Linked DNA regions of Mus musculus. The protein of the gene in region 2 interacts with the protein of the main gene of each other region in a biochemical or structural test. Links are inferred from orthologs where the notes say so. Each region holds a gene or a part of one and is shown on either strand. Other genes may lie near its edges.

Region 1 (9,579 bases), on a different chromosome or scaffold from region 2:
CTGCATGAGGTCAACACTATTTAGTACCATGCAGTTGTTTCCTAAAATAATTTTTCTTCAGAATCAGTACTGAGAAAACTATGTATTTGAGTTAGTACTCCAGTTTAACTTGTTATGGAAGTTCCCAGAGACTTGCAAATATGGAAGTGACTTTGGTGCCACATAAGCAGTAACGGGTGAGAGAGCACTTAGGGTTTGTAAGTAAAATAACAAGTTAATGTTAATGGAAAACAAGATGGGATGTCTCTTTCATACAGGACCTAGAACTCACTGTTTACTCCTCTCACAGTACAACCAACAACCCCCAAGTGGTGAACATAATGGCTTAGAACACATCTAAGGCCATATTTGATGTTAGCTTGCACCCTTGTTTTCATAAAATGCATTTCAAACACAGGCCATATTAATTTGCCTACTTAGTTCTCAATGCATAAGAGTAAATTAAAACAAAAACAGGGCTGGGGAGATGGCTCAGCGGTTAAGAGCACCGACTTTTCTTCCAGAGGTCCAACCATCTATAATAGGATCCTATGCCCTCTACTGATGTGTCTAAAGACAGCAACAGTATACTCACATATATAATTCTTTTTTTTTTTTTAGATTTATTTTATTATTATATGTAAGTACACTGTAGCTGTCTTCAGACACACCAGAAGAGGGAGTCAGATCTTGTTACAGATGGTTGTGAGCCACCATGTGTTGCTGGGATTTGAACTCTGGACCTTCGGAAGAGCAGTCAGGTGCTCTTACCCACTGAGCCATCTCACCAGCCCCACATATATAATTCTTTAAAAAAAAAAAAAAAAAAGTCATTTTGTCCAAGCTGGCCTCAAATCCCTATCCTCAAATGATCCTCCTGCCTCAACTTCTGAAAAATCCAAGACTACAATAAAGCACCCCAGGCAAATTTTCATAAAACTCCGCTGTACATGGTGGTATGTATCAGTCTTGCCTACGTAGCAAATTCAAAGCCAGTGTAGACTGTTCAAGACCCTCTCTCAAGAAAGAAAAAAACGGGGCTGATGAGATGGCTCAACGGTTAAGAGCACTGATTGCTCTTCTGAAGGTCCTGAGTTCAAATCCCAGCAACCACATGGTGGCTCACAACCATCTGTAATGAGATCAGATGCCCTCTTCTGGTGTGTCTGAGACAGCTACAGTGTACTTACATATAATAAATAAATCTTTTTTTTTTTAAATTGTTTTTTTAGATAACAAATTGGCTTTTTAGTTGGTGTGGTGGCACATGCTTTTAGTCCAAGCCTTGGGAAGCACGGGCAGGTAGATTTCGGATTTCCAGGCCAACCTAGTCTACAGAGTAAGTTCCAGGACATCCAGGGATAGACAAAACTGTAGCTCAGAAAAATGCCTTGTAAGTCAAGTTTTCCAAAACTCAAATTGAGCCAAACCTACTAGTAAGCTTCTAATTCCATTCTCAGGGGGGCTGTGATAGAAAGATCACAAGTTCAAGGCCTGCCTGAGCCTCTCAATTCTTTTGAAGGAATGAGGATCACTGCTCAGTGGGAGTGTATCTTCCAACCATATGCAAAGGCCCTAGGTTCACCCAGTACCTTTCCCAAGAACTGCCAAGAGGTTCATTTAGACCCAGAGGCTAGCCTGACTGCAAGATAAGGGAGTGTGGGGGCAGCATTCTCAAGAGTATTTTAAGAGCCATGTGCCTTTGGACAAAGGACAACTTGAGGGATGTTCTGCTATGTGCATCTAGGGACTAGACTGTCTCGCCAGCCTTTCAAGCCCAGCCTGCCTTCATTTACTTTTATTTCTAAGGATGTCAAGACTCCCTAGCCCTTATGCAACCCAGACTGAGACTGCACTGACTTTAAACCCTACTCATTAGTAGCAACTGGCCTTATCCATGTGGAGCCTTTATCTCCCACATTAAAGCCCAAATGTTTTAAAAAACATGTTTTAAAAGAGTTCAAGATTTTGCCTACATGGGTACTGTATATGGACCTGGTACAGACAGGCCACTAGAACTGTTGTAAATCATGTGGGTGCCAGAAACCGGGGGAAATTTTCACTAAGTCCACACTAAAGTCATATAACATCTAAACAGCTAGCCTTTTAGAGCACTTAGCTTTCACGTGTTTGATTTTAATCAAGACTAAAGACTACCTATGTAGCTCACGTGGTGGAAGGCTTGCCTACCAAACCTTTGGCCCTGAATTCCATCCCCAGAAACATGCTTTTATTCTGAATGTTTTGTCTTCAAAGCACCAGTAGATGGTGCTACTCCACTTATACACGTAAGTGTGCAGGTTTGAAAAACGGTGTTTGTATCCAGCAGACACTTGCTATCAATTTCCCAGGTAGGTCTTGATTCTTATTTAGGGTCTAACAGCTTACTTAAGCTATTTCACTATTAGCAATCCATTTTAACCAGTCCTACTTGAAATAACCTCAACTAAGGAACTGACAAGCCTTTAGTAAAGAGTTTGCAGCAACAGCAACCCTTAATCCCACAAGCACTAGAATTTTATCCAGTCTCTAAGGGTAAAGATGACACATTGGATGTTTTTGCCATATCAAAGGGGTTATTACACATCACTTTTCTGAGTCTAGATTATCTAAACTTAGGCCACCTGTTTTCATCTCATGGACTTCATGACATATCCTATGCAGTCTTGCCAATCCACTTCCAGGGACTAGCCCATGTTTGTTCTGCCAAAGTCAGGCTAACATGCCTCAGTTTTGAAACTTATTTCAAATTACATGTTCTGGCAACAAGTACAGTCACTGTAACCAAAATCTCAGTATAAATACTGAACAGCTTTTACCTTATTATTGAAGGTATTCCTACCACCCTACCATCAGCTTGTTTTGCAAAAGCTCATCTTAGAAAATCCCTTTTGCTTAGCCTCTTCGTTCTCACCTATTCATTCAAGATTGGTCTTTTTAGTTAAGGTTCTCTCCTGTGTAATTGTGGAAGGAAATGCTCAAGTAATTGTCCAACCTTGCTTCATTTCCAATATTCACAAAGCACACTCAGTAATCCTATGTGGTAGCATACTCCAATGCTGCCTAAATCAAACTTAGCTGTCACACCCAAGTCTGACCTACTGCATGCAGATCCAGACAGATTGGGGTATAGGTATAGTCTGCCCAACTATACCACACCTTGGGTTGATACAGCAAAATTACTTTGTCCTCACCAGTAAGATTTGAAGTTAACCCAAATCAGCCCTGTTTATAGCTCAGTTCTGGGCAGACCCAGACAACCAGAACTCAATCCCTAAGAACATACCATGGGGACCCCAGTACCTTTGTTGTATACAGTCAGTTAACTTTCAGCATTGACCAACACAGATTTCTCATTAAACTTGTTTTAATGGTCTCAAAATTCTGTGACAGATTTTTGGTCAAGTTGTTTCCATTAAAAAGTACTGATTTTGAAAACTAATAACTTAAAACTGCCACACACAAAAAAAATGGTCCACAACATTCTTTCCTTCTGAAGGTTTTACGATGCATTGTTATCATTAACCAGTCTTTTACTATTAAACTTAAATGGCCAATTGAGACAAACAGTTCTGAGACCGTTCTTCCACCACTGATTAAGACTGGGGTGGCAGGTGTTAGGGGTAATATTCATTTAGCCTTCTGAGCTTTCTGGGCAGACTTGGTGACTTTGCCAGCTCCAGCAGCCTTCTTGTCCACAGCTTTGATGACACCCACAGCAACTGTCTGCCTCATGTCACGAACAGCAAAGCGACCTATATAGAAAAATGCCATTTATCAGTATCTTTGCTATGCAAGCAACATTTCCTATTACAAACTTGATGTTCAGTGTAGCAGACTCAGATCAGGCTTACCAAGTGGAGGGTAGTCAGAGAAGCTCTCAACACACATGGGCTTGCCAGGGACCATATCAACAATGGCAGCATCGCCAGACTTCAGGAACTTGGGGCCATCTTCCAGCTTCTTACCAGAACGACGATCGATCTTTTCTTTAAGCTCAGCAAACTTGCATGCTATGTGGGCTGTGTGACAATCCAGAACAGGAGCGTAGCCAGCACTGATTTGGCCTGGATGGTTCAGGATAATCACCTAAGAAAAACAGCGTGTATTTAAGTCTTGCCTTGTGATTCTGCACACACAACCAATCTAGCCACCTATCTTAAAAATGTGTCACCTGAGCAGTGAAGCCAGCTGCTTCCATTGGTGGGTCGTTTTTGCTGTCACCAGCAACATTGCCTCGTCTAACATCTTTGACCGACACGTTCTTTACATTGAAGCCCACATTGTCCCCAGGAAGAGCTTCACTCAAAGCTTCATGGTGCATTTCAACAGACTTGACTTCAGTTGTTACATTGACTGGAGCAAAGGTAACCACCATGCCAGGCTTGAGAACACCAGTCTCCACTCGGCCCACAGGGACAGTGCCAATGCCTAAAATAGTATTGTTTTGTATAAGTATTTAATACACAAAACATAAGACTTCAAATTCACGTCAACATTCTACTTAATATTCTACTTACCTCCAATTTTATAGACATCCTGGAGGGGCAGTCGCAGGGGCTTGTCAGTTGGACGAGTTGGTGGTAGGATACAATCCAAAGCTTCCAGCAGCGTGGTGCCACTGGCACTGCCATCTTTGCGGGTGACTTTCCATCCCTTGAACCAAGGCATCTAAAACACAGGCAGTCAATTATAACCTCCTTACTTATTGCGGCTTTCTCCATTCAACTACCTTAAAAGTCACTTACATTAGCACTTGGCTCCAGCATGTTGTCACCATTCCAACCAGAAATTGGCACAAATGCTACTGTGTCAGGGTTGTAGCCAATTTTCTTAATGTAGGTGCTGACTTCCTTAACGATTTCCTCGTATCTCTTCTGACTGTATGGTGGCTCGGTGGAATCCATTTTGTTGACACCAACAATCAGCTGTTTCACACCCAGGGTGTAAGCCAGAAGAGCATGCTCGCGGGTCTGCCCGTTCTTGGAGATACCAGCTTCAAATTCACCAACACCAGCAGCAACAATCAGGACAGCACAGTCAGCCTGTAAGAAACAAGACAATCATATACCATTATCTCAGAGAAAGCACCCCACTAAAAAATATCCTGAGTCAGGAATGGGTAAATTTTACACACCTGGGATGTGCCTGTAATCATGTTTTTGATGAAGTCTCTGTGTCCTGGGGCATCAATGATGGTCACATAGTATTTGCTGGTCTCGAATTTCCACAGGGAGATGTCAATAGTGATACCACGCTCACGCTCAGCTTTCAGTTTGTCTAAGACCCAGGCGTACTTGAAGGAGCCCTTTCCCATCTGCAAAGTGACTTCTAATTAGTACACCCAAGACCTAGGTTCTACTCCCTGCTTAAAGAATTCCCATCCCTCCTTTTGCCTTATACTTGCCTCAGCAGCCTCCTTCTCAAACTTTTCGATGGTTCGCTTGTCGATTCCACCACATTTGTAGATCAGGTGGCCGGTTGTGGTGGACTTGCCGGAATCTACGTGTCCGATTACGACGATGTTGATGTGAGTCTTTTCCTTTCCCATTTTTGCTTTGAATTAGCGGTGGTTTTCACAACACCTAAAAAAGGGTTTAAAAGATACCTTTGAACCGCTAAGAAGCCCGAGAATTAGCTCCGCTCAAAACTCAAGGGGACAAATTCCAAAAATGACTTCCAGCGCCAGGCTGGCCTGACTAGTCTCCACCCACCAAATGTGAACAAACTCCAACGCCATTACATCCCCTCCCCCCGCCGCGACTAGCCGTGCTCAAAAGCCCGAGGTGACTATTGCGGCCGATAGGACCACGGGGTCACAGGAAGCAGCAGCCGGTGAGGGACCAGGCCCTCTTCCTTTGTGTGGGTGACTCACCCGCCCGCTCCACCGGGCTGCCGCGTCCTCCATTTTGAGCTCCTTGCAACAGGGCCCGGGAGCGGCCATCTTTCCACGCACGCAACTGGTGCCGGACGGGATGGCCTCACCCTAGTTAGGGAGGCAGGGCAACGCGGCGCCGCCAAGCCAGATCGTGCCGGGTGCTGGGGCCACATGGCCTCGGCACGCTAACCCCAGCCTGGTTGCTTCGGGAAAAACCCCAGGCCTCGCCCCATCCAGGTGGCGTCGGACATGTGCTCCGAAGGCGGGCGGGCCCCAGCCGCCACTCCTGTCCCTCCATTCCTCCCCAACCATGACCTCTCCGGGCTCCGGGCGAGCAAGCCCCGCACCCTCCCTTTGTTAGCCCCTATTGCTGAACGGCAATCGAAGGCAGCAGGGCAACAACAACAACAAAAAAAAAAAGACCAGAGTGCGGCCGGAGTAGCACGCGGCGGCGGCGCGGACACCACGCTAGGCCTCAAGCCGGACACGAGGCGAGGCTACGGGGTTGCCGCTAGGCCTCGCACTCTGCCTCCCGCGCCGCCCGCAACTCGAAGCGGGAATGCTCGCAGCTAATCCCCGCCGACGACAGCGGGGCCCGGCCCGCTCGGAGCAGGACCTCCAGCTCGGCGGCCCGCGGAAGCCACACCCGCCCCTCACCTGCGTTCTGACGGCAAACCCGTTGCGAAAAAGAACGTCCAAGGCGACTGCCGCACTTATATACCGTTCTCCCCCACCCTCGGGAAGAGGGCGGAGCCAGCACACGACACCGCTTTCCCAGTTTGCCCCGCGCCAGCTCCCCGGTCCTCCCCCCCATCACCCCCCCCCCCCCCGCTCAGTGCGCCCCTCCCCCCACGACCAGGGTCTATGAGCTTGTGTGCTCTGCTCTCCCCGCGCTCAGCCCTGAGCGCATGCTCCTCGCACTGTGGTGGGGCGGGTACCGGGATTATGGGTTATGAGAATTTAGCGACGGTCCCTGGGACTTCCCCAGGCGAAGGCGATCCCTCCTTTTGTATGAATTACTCTTGGCCCTAGCGGAGGGTGGGGCGGCGAGAAGCTGGCCAAGAGGGCGGCCAGAATCTATCCCTACTCTTCCTTACTCCGCTGCCAAGGCTGTGTCAAGATCCGGGTGTCCCTTCCCACGGAGGCCACCTCCCGACGTCAGCCCCGCTATCCTTCTGTTCGCCTCCCGCAGCCCATGCTCTCCTGGCTGGGAGAGGAACACAATGTTGGGGACCCTTCCCGGCTCTAGAACCCAAGGGCTTAGCTCAGTAGCGGAGAGCTCGACCGATCTGCCCCTGGGCTGGCCCCTTGGTTTATTCCATCCAATGCCGGTTGATTCTCTGGAAACCTGAAGCGGCCTTCACACCCCTAAGGGTTCAGTTCAGAATATGCTTCAATCCTACAGTTAGCTTTACTTTGATTCTAGGTTTGTTACACTAAAAAGATTGTATGTGTACATGTGTATGTACAGCCATTTGATTGAACATGAGAAACCTGAAAATAATCTAATCCACCCCACATGGTCTCATCTAAATACCAGCATCAGCAATCTCCCAGCGCCCATCCCTAACACTTGTGAAATCACTGCTTCTCAAAAATGGCTTGCCTTGTTAGTTACATCCCTTTCTTTGCTGCAATTCTAGCGATCATACCAGCATTGTTTTGTTATTGAGACAAGGTCTCTCTTTTTTAGCCCTGGCTGCCCTGGAATAGGTAGTAGACCAGGCTGACTTCAAATTCACAGGAATCCGACCTGGACCTGCTGGGATTAAAGCCCTGGCCATTTTTAAATGCCTCTCAGAGCAGGCACACAGAAGTGTTTCTCAGAGGAAAGAAGAACTTCTTTGTTTTGTTTTTTAATGCTAGAGATGGAAAAAGAATTATTTTGTAATGGGATATGGGGTGCTGGAGATGGAACCCTAGGGTGTCTATCACCAAGTTACAGTTCCTAGCTCAAAGATATCCTATCTGATTATCCATCATTGGATCTCCTCTCCCAGGTGTACAACATCACTTCCCAGTTACAAACATTTGATGTTCTTGCACCAACCTTACTAGGAGCATTTGAGGGCCTCTGTCTAGTGTTCACAAAAACACACAGGATTTGCAAAGGAACTATTTGTTTCTGGGGAAGAGTTCCACAGTCAAGGGAAAAACTTAAATATAAAACAATTTGGAACCAGTTCAAAGCAAATTTACATGATGCTTCTCATTTCTTGTCTAGTTCTAGTTTTCAACTATTTTTCACATCCCAAACTGTTGTTTTTTAACTTTTTTTTAAAAGTGGTATTTATTTAGTGTGTGTGAATGCGTGTGCCACATCACCCTGTGCGGAGGCCAGAGGCCAGAGGCCACCTTTCGTGGGGCAGGTTTGCCCCTCAACTACGTGGACCTATGGGATCTAACTCAGTCAGGCTTTGCAGCAAACGCCTGTACCCAGAGAGCCATTTCATGTCCTACTTTTGTTTTTGTTTGAAACAGAACTTGATGTAGCTCAGGCTGGCCTCAAACTCATGTTGCTGAGGCTGGCCTTCAATTTTTTTTTTTTTTTTTTGGTTTTTCGAGACAGGGTTTCTCTGTGTAGCCCTGGCTGTCCTAGAGCTCACTTTGTAGACCAGGCTGGCCTCGAACTCAGAAATCCGCCTGCCTCTGCCTCCCGAGTGCTGGGATTAAAGGTATGCACCACCATGCCCTGCTGGCCTTCAATTTCTAATCTTCCTAGCTCCACTTCTCAAGTACTGGGATCTCAGGTGTGCCCCCCCACCCCGCATCCTCCCCACAGCCCTCCCACCCCCACCCCAGGCTTCTTTTCTTGCCTAAGTGAGAAACAAAGACCCTGTAATAGCCTTCCTAATTCTTAGTTTACAGATCCTTATAACTTCCTAAAGGCAGATTTTCTCACTCATCAGGTGGCTTCTAGCTTCATTTTCATCTAACACTGGTAATTGTAATCAAAGAATCCAGGACAACGTTTCCCTCCAAGTATATACATATAACTAATCATTTGCTATCCACAGAAGCCTTTTCTTTTTCTGGTCAATGAGGTTGTTAAAGGATCACACACAGGATCTATTCTATGCGTGCTAGGCACACAAAAGCCTTTTCTGTAATGTCCACATTAGCCTCTCTCATTTCACAAATTCTTTTTTTCCACACAGAATTTTTCTGGGGTCCCTAGCCAGTCATATGCATACAGGATAGAATTATCTTGATACCCTACTGCCTATTTGTAACAGGAGAAATTGTAAGAAATACTCGAAAACCCATCGGCAGCAACAGAACCCACTCTCTGCTCTCTCTCTCATTTATTTCCTTGGAGACACTGGCTAGAGACTCCTCTTTGCAGCTTGTTTCCCACAGTCAGCGGTGGGATACATTAGTGTATACAGTAGTGGTATCTGTCCCACACGAGATATTATCGAGATATTATTTTCCATGCTTGCTTTAGCAATATATGCTTCCAATGGTTTGGGCTTATATATTATTGGGGTAATAGAATAGTACACATCTTTTATTTTGTCTTCTTTAGTTTTCAAGACAAAGTTTCTCTATGTAACATCCCTGGCTGTCCTGGAACTCACTTTGTAGACCAGGCCAGCCTCGAATTCACTGGGATCTGCCGGCCTCTGCCGCCCCTGTGCTGGGATTAAAGGCCTACACCACCAAGCCTGGCAACCCTGCATATTTTTTTTAGCAGGAATGGCACATTTTTGACAATGTAA
Region 2 (10,550 bases):
CACACACGCACCAAACTAGGCGCATCCTTGAAGGTAAATTACTGCTGCTTTTATAGCCCTGGTACACAGTACTCTGTACATGACAGACATCCGGTAAATCTCTGGTAGGAACTTATTTGACTTTCTTACAAATTATAAACTTCTCAGTGCCAAGAGGTCCTATAGGCTACATCTCTAGTCTCTGCAGCATCTAGCAGAATTGGATATAATCCATCAGCCAAGCATTTTTATGGTGTTTGCAAAATGAAACGCTAACTCCGATCAAAGAACTTACAACCTTTTCCTCCATTCTGTCCTATATGCCCTCAGGAAACTTCTACCCTTCAAACTTCCACAATAGTCCTTTAAACCTTTTGTTGCTGGACTCTACTTTAGGCCCTATCAATGTGCTTTCTGTTTCACTAGACTGTGAGCTCCCTGAGGCCAAAGGATCTTTTTTAGACAATTCTAATGACCACAGTAAACATTCACTAAAGAGCTCTTGGTAGTTTCGTAAGTACAACTTCAACCAAGTTCTTATGTTTATGAACGAATTGTTTAAAGGAAAAGAAAAATTCAGCTTTTGTGTGAGGGATTCAGCTTTGTGTTGCATCAGTGCTATCAAGTTTTGTTCTTGAAGAAAACAAACCTTTTCCTATATGGCAAGAATACAATTTTTTTTTAAGGATGAAGGTTACAGTAAGGTCATAAGGCAACTCTACAAGTTTCTAGCTTCCTACAAATAGCACCTTTTATTTTAGCTTGCAAAATAGTTTATTATAAAAGGTTACTCTCATGGACTCTTTTCATTACGGAGCTTTAACATACTAAAGACCCAGACTAGCCAGACAAAGCAGAAGCAATACTGAATCTATGAAGTCACCTATGGAAAAATAGGTATTTTCCACTTTTCAGCAAACAGCACATCTCAGTAGGTGTGTAAAGTCTTTGTTCTTGTTGCATGTAAGGAAGTCAGTTGCTTGCTTTTGTGTTTTTAAGAGGATACCAGGGTGGGTTGGTACTAGGTAACCTAGTGGCCTTAAACTCAAAGTAATCCTCCTGCCCCAACCTTGTTTAATAATTTCTAAAGCAATTAACTAAATATTGGCACAAGTTAGAGGCATACTTTATTTATACTTAACTCTTTCATAGATTTAGCTTTTTATGAATTTTATTAATGTGGTGTGGTGTGGTGATGGTGTGTGTGTGTGTGTGTGTTGTATGTGTTTTTGTGTATGTGTGTATGTGTGTGTATGTATGTGTGGGTTTGTGTGTATGTGTGTGTATGTATGTGTGTGTATGTGTGTGTATGTATGTGTGTTTGTGTGTATGTGTGTGTATGTGTGTGTATATGTGTGTATGTATGTGTGTGTTTGTGTGTATGTGTGTGTATGTATGTGTGTGTAAGTATGTGTGTTTGTGTGTATGTATGTGTGTGTGTGTTTGTGTGTGTATGTATGTGTATGTGTGTGTATGTATGTGTGTGTATGTGTGTATAAGTATGTGTGTTTGTGTGTATGTGTGTGTGTGTGTGTGTGTGTGTGTTTGTGTGTGTATGTATGTGTGTGTGTGTGTGTGTATGTGTATAGGTGCATGTGCACATGTCATGCACTTCTGTGGTCAGAGGACAAGTTGAAGAGGTCAAGTCTCTTCTCCCTTGGGTTTCCAAGATCAAACTCAGGTTGTCAGGCTTCGGTGGCAACTACCTACTGAGCCAACAGCTCATAATTTGTTTTAACTTATGTTTGAGTTATCTTATGAAAGAACAACAAAACAAAAATCAAAAGAATACCTAACTCTACTTATTGTTGAGCTTTTCAAGAGATGGAGTAATCTGAAGGTTTTATCCCACTACTTCATCTCACTAAGCACTGGGGTTAAATGACTCAAACTCCTTTTTTTTTTTTTTCCTTTTTTTTTTTTTCTTTTTCTTTTTTTTTTTTTTTTTGGTTTTTCGAGACAGGGTTTCTCTGTGTAGCCCTGGCTGTCCTGGAACTCACTCTGTAGACCAGGCTGGCCTCGAACTCAGAAATCCTCCTGCCTCTGCCTCCCGAGTGCTGGGATTAAAGGCGTGCGCCACCACGCCCGGCCTCAAACTCCTTTTTAATAATATGTATAAGTAACAACTCTCTGTAAGGCCTTCAATATTCTCCTGTTGCTATGATCCGAGCAAATACCATGTACCAGGTAGTGATTATTTCCCCAGAGCCAGAGATATTGCAGGATCTCGTACATGCTCTATCTATCACTGAAGCTACAGCCTCGGGTTCATAATGATTTCTAATCATTCATTTATTAAACAAATATTACCTCATCATCTAATGTATGGATACATCAGTGGACCAGATATTAAGTTCATCCTTCCAAGAGATGACAAAGCTATAAAAGGCAACTCTGTAGGCTGGGTAATGTGCTCTTCATTTTACACATGAATGAATGGTGGGGGTGCTGGTGGAGACCTGACTGCCACTCATGTGCTTTCCAGCAAACAGCTGCTTTTCTCCACGTGTCCTACTTGGTTTAACTTAGTTCATGAAATACAACAGTTGTGGAAACCGAACAAGCCGCTAGTGGGAAGGCTAAAGGGCTTGCTCGAAAGGAATTGCTCTCAAATCTCCTGCTAATATAAAAGTAAATGTTGTTATTCCAGTTGTTTGGGATTACACATTGTCTTCAAGCAAAGACTAAATAAGGCCTAGAAATCCACATTCCTAAGAGTAGAAAAGCAGAAGGCTCATAGGCCTATACAAGATGGGCAGAAGCTTAAGGGTTTTGTGGTTTCTTCTGCTCTCCCTGATGGTCACAAGAAGGCTGGCAAACAGTAGGGGCCCAAGGAGTTCCAGAGAGGAAGGGAGGGAGGGAGGGAGGGAGGGAGGGAGGGAGGGAGGGAGGGAAATAGAGAAAGAGAGAGCTCCAGAGAGAGAGGAGAAGAGAGAGGGAGGGAGGGGGAGGAGGAGGGGAGGGAGAGGGGCAAACAGTGGAGACTATAGCTCTGCCAGGCTTTGTCTTCAGCACACACCTTTGCTTCCCTTGCCTCTGCCTCCCAGCTACAGTTAATTACCAGGTGCTTTCTAACCAGACAGTAGAAAGGCTTCTTCTACTGAAGTCTTTTCTTCTTCTTTTTCCTCTGACACTTCTTCCCTGACATAATCAGACCTCTCACAGCAGTAGGGGAAATTCTCTGGGAAGAGGCTACAACTTGACAAAACCTGCCCTTTGCCACGGTTCTCCCTTACGCTGGTACTGTATAGCCAGCCACTCACCCTATTTACTACCCCATACCTCCCCAAGTTATCTACCTACAACACTGACCAGGTCACTTCCTTCTGCAGACTGTGGCAAGTTCACAGAAAGAAGCTCAAATACATAATGGTGATGCAAGAACTCCTGTCAGCATCTGAGCTGAACCCCCACCTTTCCAACCCTCTCTCACTTATCTGCCTACACCAGAGGCAGGCAGAGACACCCTCGTAGGTCTCTCTGCAGGCTGTGATCTTTGATGCCTCCAATGAAATGTTTTTTCCTCAGTAAAAGCTTCACTCATCTTCAAGCAGCTTTGGTAACCCTCCTCTCTGCTTCCACGTTTTGCATGCAATTAATTATAGCATTTAAGTCATTCACTGTAATTTAGACTTTGCAAGGTGAATCTTGCCATATTCCCTTTTTCCTTACCCCGACCCTCTACAACCGCCCCCCCCCACCATCTTCCTGCCTAGTGTAAAATACAGCAAAGCTTCAATAGAATGTCCAATAATCAATATTGTAAAACACAAACCACACGTTGAGAAATGACACAATTATTCCATACCAGTTTATTTTAGATAATGTGCTTCAAAAACTTTATCATAAATAACCTTTCACATCATAAAATAACTTAGTAAGATTTATAATAAAACTTCTGAGAATTTAACATCTCATCAAAATACATTTAAACTGTGGCTTGAAAATATGATTAATCCTCTTTTACTTTCCTTTTATTTGAGGGCATAAAGACCAAAAAAAAAAAAGAAAAAAAATACCCAAACTATTGCTATACATTTAAAGTTTCAACAAAGCAATATTTGGCTTATTTGAAAGTAACCTGGCCATCCTAAATTAGCAGTTTTCTTTCTTGCAGTGCTTTGTAGTTTTTGTCCCTTTTGCCTTGGATTTCTCTTTTCTCGCAGCTTCCTTCTTCAGGCTCACCTCTCTCTCCCTCTGCAAAGTCATCTCTGAGCCCTCGTGCAGTTGAACTCGGCCCCTTGACATCAGTTTCTGTAATCCTTGCATCAGCGTGGGGAGTGACTGCTTGAGTAACTACAAAGGTATTTCAAAACTTCAGTGCAATTTGGTTCAGTTATTTCCATTCGGATGCCATCACCGTTCCGGGAGATTAATCACGGGCACCCACTGATCCATGTAGCGACTTTCCCGGCAAAAACAAATAAGTTGACTTAAGGCAGGATCCTTCCATTGTGATGAATGTGGGTTCTGTGAACAGATTTTGAAAAAATTACTTCCCCGGAAAATAATCAGCTTCTGCTACTAATTGTGCTACTTTTGAAAGGGCCAAACCCCGAACATTCTGTTAAAAACAGCATCTAGCATAGTCTAAACACCTGTAACGTGCACGGAACTACACAGAGTTTTGCATATTAACTACCCCATTCTGCATGAGGTTACCATTCTTAAGACCTCCCTTCCAAGCATGTACCCTGGTGGGTCATAAGTAAAAGACTCCTGAAAAGCATTCTCAGGCTGTGTGCACGGTGAGGGCTGCAGGGCAGGCAGCTGCTGAACTCTTATCTTCCCTGACGATGAATAGCACATTTTACTGGCAGCAACAAGTAACCAGGCAGTCACTTCCCTACACAAGTCAGAAGAGAAAGAGTACAAAAACAAAAAACCAGAAGACCTAGACAGCACGGTTCTTTCTGAAAACACTATCAACCCACCACACATTTTTAAGCGGTGGGGAGGAGGGAGCTCGTTTAAACAAACTCAAGAGCAGCAAAGAAAAGAATTCCACTCGGTACACTTCAGAGTATCTATCTATATCCAGGGAATTAATAAGGTCTGTCTCCTACACCACTTCTACCTTTAGCTTTGACAGCAAATGAAGAATGAAGCTAACTTCTTAACGAAGGGTAAACCGGGAATTTATTTGGCTTTATCTAATCTGTTCTGCTCAAAGAATTAGCCACGCGAGGTTGTGCAGAGGTAAGCAGAGGTAGCAGCTGGGCAGCTTGCTGACTCACAGGGATATCTTCCGCCGCTGGAGGCCACCCACGAGCTTAGACACGCTCCGTACCCTATCACAACCCCCGCGAGATCAGCGTTCAGCTCGGACAAGGTCCACCCCAGCAGATTCTGGGCTGCAGCCCCGGGTCTCTTACCGTCACCAGCACACAGTGCAGGTCCGGGGTCTGCGCGGCGCCCCCGCTCTCCGCCGGGCCCGCGTCGTTCTCCAGTAGCAGCAGCTCAGCTAGCCGACCCGGGTTGCTGACCCGCAGGATGTTGATGTCGTTCTCGCAGCAGAACGCACGGATGAGGGTGAAATGGATCTGCAGAGCCACATCCCGGTCGTCGTCTTCGTCAGCAGCCAGCAGGCACAGTACCACGTTATCGGGGTCTCTGCGGGCAGCGGGGCAGCGGTGAGTTGCATACGCTCAGGGGGGCGCGGGGTAGAGGCGGGTGGGTGGGCGAGCGGGGAACGCGGGCCACTTACACGTTGAGCAGCTTGGCAGCCTCGTACACGCCGACCGTAATGGTGCGCTGACTCCGAGCCTTGCTGAGCACTTCCTCCAGGGCATCGCCCACCGTGTCCATCCTGCGGGCGGCAGGGTGAGAGCGGGTCAGCCGGGTCCCCGGACGCGAGGCGGGAGGGGCGGCGGCCACCGAGTCGGCAGGCACACTTACCTTTCGGTCTTCTGCTCTGCAGCCGAGAATTCCTCCAAAGTCATATTGCAAGTGCGAGTCCCTCCCTCGGCGCGCGGGCTGCTCCTGGCCCCCACAGTGCGCGGCGCCGGCTCTGCGCTCGCTCCCACCCTCCCTTCTCCGCTCCGGCCGGCCGGCTGCTCGCCTAGCCTCGCTGGGGAACTCTGCACTGCTGCCTCGGGGCCACTGGAGGACAAAGGGCCCGATTCCGGAGATATGGGGCTAGCCCTCAGCCAACCAGGTCCAGCTTCATTTGCATGCAGTCAGGCCATTGGGTTATGCAAATTAGCAGACGTTGACACCCAGACCCTCGCTCCACCAAAGCAAGGCAGAGTTGAGCGGAAAGGGGCGGAGCTACGCGGGAGGGAGCCCACGGGACGAAGGTGGTGCTGAAACCCGGTTGGTGGGGTCCTGAGCCAGCTCTAGGTAGTTTGTGGAGCCTTCTGGTGCGGAGGGCTTTGCAGTGGTTCAAGTGTCCTCAGCTCTGACTGAAACAGCCTGCCAATTGTTTTTCTGGTTGTGGACATCTTTTGATTGTCGTTTCGTGCCCTTTGTGTTAAGGGGCTGCTTTTTAAATTTTACTTCCAGGGATTAATGCACTCCAGTCTAGCTGTTGTTAGTAAGCATATTTTTAAGTGTCCAGACATGCCGGGCAAAGCTTGCTTCAGTGTTTATATGCAAGTTTCAGGTAAACCTGCTTATTCCCAGTAGTAGTCTTTTGGTGCCCTGATGGCTGGTTTGATTTGGTTTTGGTTGGTTGTGAGAATTTGAAACTCCAGGGAGAAGAAAAAAAAAAAAAAAATCGCATTTGTGTGTAGTGGTGGCACAGTACCAAGTTGGAATCTTTTCCACAAAAAGTTGGTGAAATTTCTGCCTACTCCATGTAAGGTGGGGAGCTGGTGATCGCATGTTTAACGAGCCAAATTCACCGTTCTTAGAATCCTTCCTGAAGAAGGCTCCTTCTGATCAAGTAAGAGCTAAGAGAGAAATTCTGTGGTATTCAGAGGTGCCATCATGGAAATTCGAGGTGCTCACGATGTTCCCTGAGCGTCCCATCACAGGCAGAAGAGTATGACACCACCTTTACTGTCTATGAGCTCACTCTGAATTACTGAAGCTGAATCATGAAGCTGTAACTGTAGTACATTTTAGCCATGTGCTCAAATTTCACCTTTGAGATAATAGCAACTTGTAGGTAGAAGGCAAACCCTCGTAACTGCAAGCAGGAGTTACAAAGTAAAAACAATTTTTAATGCAAACTTTTACTGGATAGCTCAAAACTCTCTTTGTTTTATGAGCTTATTCAGTAAATACAAAAGCATTGCCTGAACCTACTAGTCACGGAGAGTGGTGAAATTGCAGCCCATATGCTTGCATTCTTAACAGTGCTAATATTGAGGTCACTGGGTAGCTTACAGTTACAGAAGTAAATTTTGCAGAGGTACATGTGAGTTATCCTTAAGATTTTTTTTGCGGGGGGAGGGGTGGTTTTTCGAGACAGGGTTTCTCTGTGTAGTCCTGACTGTCTTGGAACTCACTTTGTAGACCAGGCTGGCCTCGAACTTAGAAATCCGTCTGCCTCTGCCTCCCGAGTGCTGGGATTAAAGGCGTGCGCCACCATACCCGGCAAGTTTTTATTCTTGTGGACAAAATATTTTCAAATTCTCTTAATCTTAACTTAATGGATAATTTATAGGTTGGTTTTCTAGTTCACTTATTGGAGATGTCCCCAAGAGACAAAAGTTGAGTAAAGGAGCAAATGTCAGTGTATGACTTACCCTGGGTGCTGTGTACCTCATACTTACGCCTTAAAGCTTTAAATGGCGATGCTTTGTTAAAGAATCCCTTGGGACTGGGGAGTTGGCTCAGTGGTTAAGCACACTGGCTATCCTTCCAGAGGTCCAGAGTTCAATTCCCAGCAACTAAATGTGGCCCACAATCATCTATAATGGGATCTGATGCCCTCTTCTGGCATGAGGTGTACATGCAGTTAGAGCACTCAAAAGTAAATAAAGCGGAGAGGGGAGGGGAGGGGAGGGGAGGGGAGGGGAGGGGAGGGGAGGGGAGGGGAGGAGAGGAGAGAGAGAATTTCTCTACCATTGGGGGCCTGGGATTCTAGGTCAGTGGTAGAGCAGTTGCCTAGCTTGTTCCAGGCCCAGGCTCAGAATTTGATCTCTAGCCCTACAAAACAGCATCAGGGGCAAAATCTCAATATTGAAGTTTAGGCTTCAATTTCTATGGTTAACAGTGACCGTTACCTTAATGGTGATCAAGAGCCATTACTAAAACAAGCCTCTGGGCGTGACTGTGATGGGTCATCTAGATTAGGATGGATAAAACCATTCCATGGGCTCGGGGTCTTCACTGCATGTAAAAAGGAAAACAGCTACACTGAGCATGGTCATTCTTGGTTCATTCCTGACTGAGGATGCCATGTGACCAACCACCTCTAGCTCTGGCTGTCAAGCCTTCCCCATGATGGACTAACTGTACCCAGGAATAAACGCTTCCTTTCTTAATTTTGTTCCAGGAACAATACAGGTAACTGGCACTAAAATACCATCTTTAAAATACCATAATGACACAAACCACTCCGAGTCACCATTTGGAGACTAATGAACTGTGTTCCCTAGAACTCCAGGGCTCTACCCATTAGACATTTCTTAGAAGTTCTCTGGAAGGATGCAGCTGACAAAGAATTAGAAGATGATGTGACAGCAGAGACTATGACTTCATCAGCTTGGTGTCCTCAACACCCTACATTCAGTAGTACAGTGGGTGTCATGAATTAAAAAGAATCTGAGAATTAATCACCACCTCATGACCCTACAGTCCTGTGCATGAATTCTCAGAAAAGTCACCTTTAACATCACTTCAAAAATATAAGCCCTAAAAAATTTCTGGTCCTTTCTCTACAAAGACCTCATGATCTACTTGGTATGTCCATTGTATTAATCAGGGTTCTTTAGAGTAGTGGAACATATAAAATCAATATATATGTATGCATATGTATATACACACATACATATATACAAAGGGGATTTATTAGGTTGACTTACAGGCAGTATGTAGTCCAACTAATACAACAATGGCTGGCTATGAACAAAAAGTCCAAGAATCTAGAAGTTGTTCCGTCCTTGAGGCTAGATGTCTCAGTTGGTCGTCTGAATGTGCTGGGATCCCACTAAAGTAGGCTCTAATGGCAGTGAAGGAATAGACATGCTAGCAAGGCTAGAGCAAGCAGGCGATGAGCAAAAGCTTCCTTTTTCCATGTCTAAGCTTCCCACACAAGGTATGGCCCAGATAAAAGGTGTGCCTTTCCCACCTCAAGACCTGTATTAAAGGAGTGTGTCTTGTCACCTCAAGGTCCATATTAAAGGAGTGTGTTTTCCTGCCTCAGGATCTGGATTAGAAGTGGATCTTCCTATTTCAAATTAAGCAAAAATTTCTTCACTGGGGTGCCCTCTGTTTTTGAATTTTAGATAATTCCAGATGTACTGAATGAAGTTGACAACCAAGAGTCGCCATCACACCTATGTTTCAACTGGATTTTAGGACAAAATGGTATTCACTGTCATCAGCTAGTTATGCTGAACGTCCCATCTCATCTGAATGGAAGCTGAGTCGAACCATGCACTGTTTATGCAATTCAGATGAAACATAGGACTATAGTGTCCCATTAAAGGCAGCTATTTGAAGTTTAAAATGGGTATAACATAGCAAAAGTATAGTATTTATCCCTCAAAAACTATACTTAATGCTATGTTTAGCCTTATTGTTAAAAAAATGGCATTTTATCCAAATCTGGTATTCAAAAACTGTTCATGTCACACACTCTGACTCAGCCAAGCTTGTGTTACCTCATTGCTGAATTTCCCTAGAATGTTTCATCAGTGATTGTCTTCTGTGAGTATTATGGTTGGAAGGAGGAATTGCACTCAGCCCGCCTGCTTGCTTGCAGCTTTATATTAGAGTCCTGGATTATATTCCACCTAACGAGTCCAGTATGTAGAGATATTGCTTTAGATAGGGTTTCTTTTGCTGTGATAAAATCACCATGGCAACTTGGGAAGGAAAGGGTTTCCTTGGTTTACGTATCCTGAATCACAGTCCACTGGGGGGAAGCCAAGGCAGGAACTCAAATCAGGAAGGAGCCTGGAGGCAGGAGCTGCTGCAGAGCCCACGGGAGAGTGCTGCTTGCTGCCTTGCTTCCCATGGCTTGTTTAGACAGCTCTCTTACAGAACCTGTGGTCAGCTCAGGGATGGCACCTCTTACAATGGGCTGGACCCTCCCACATGAGCCACTAATTAAGAAAATATGCTACAGACTTACCTGTAGCTCAATTTTATGGAAGCAGTTTCTCAATTGAGGTTCTGTCCTCTCGGATGGCTCTAGTTTGTGGCAAATTAACATAAAACTAAGCAGCACGGTTACTGTTTGTTTCTGACAGAGTCTCAAGCTCTCAATCCTTCTGCCTCAGCCTCCTGAGTGCTGGAATTACAGGTATGCAGCATCATACCTTCCTAATGCTATTTTTAAAACTACTCCTGGTAGTCCCAGGTGTTGAAGTATGGAGGACTAGAGTGACATTTTAATCATATTTATGAAATCTCTAAATGGTTATATCTGGTAGTCATGGGGAAGTAGGTACTAG

What was found. The genes of interacting proteins can lie anywhere in the genome.
Region 1: the proteins of Gadd45a (region 2) and Eef1a1 form a complex in vitro, tested with the Homo sapiens proteins (2 studies listed by BioGRID). The link is inferred for Mus musculus from reciprocal best matches to the Homo sapiens genes GADD45A and EEF1A1.

The regions. Positions count from the first base shown.
Region 1 is NC_000075.6:78,475,125-78,484,703, forward strand, and holds Eef1a1 (elongation factor 1-alpha 1), read right to left. Parts: upstream 6,601-9,579; 5' UTR 6,515-6,600; intron 5,565-6,514; 5' UTR 5,531-5,564; coding exon 5,387-5,530; intron 5,297-5,386; coding exon 5,117-5,296; intron 5,025-5,116; coding exon 4,728-5,024; intron 4,651-4,727; coding exon 4,500-4,650; intron 4,411-4,499; coding exon 4,154-4,410; intron 4,069-4,153; coding exon 3,834-4,068; intron 3,735-3,833; coding exon 3,610-3,734; 3' UTR 3,329-3,609; downstream 1-3,328. UniProt on the Homo sapiens protein: Translation elongation factor that catalyzes the GTP-dependent binding of aminoacyl-tRNA (aa-tRNA) to the A-site of ribosomes during the elongation phase of protein synthesis.
Region 2 is NC_000072.6:67,031,324-67,041,873, forward strand, and holds Gadd45a (growth arrest and DNA damage-inducible protein GADD45 alpha), read right to left. Parts: upstream 6,085-10,550; 5' UTR 5,922-6,084; coding exon 5,878-5,921; intron 5,789-5,877; coding exon 5,687-5,788; intron 5,613-5,686; exon of another isoform or gene 5,593-5,612; coding exon 5,355-5,592; exon of another isoform or gene 5,276-5,354; intron 4,450-5,275; coding exon 4,336-4,449; 3' UTR 3,773-4,335; downstream 1-3,772. UniProt on the Homo sapiens protein: In T-cells, functions as a regulator of p38 MAPKs by inhibiting p88 phosphorylation and activity.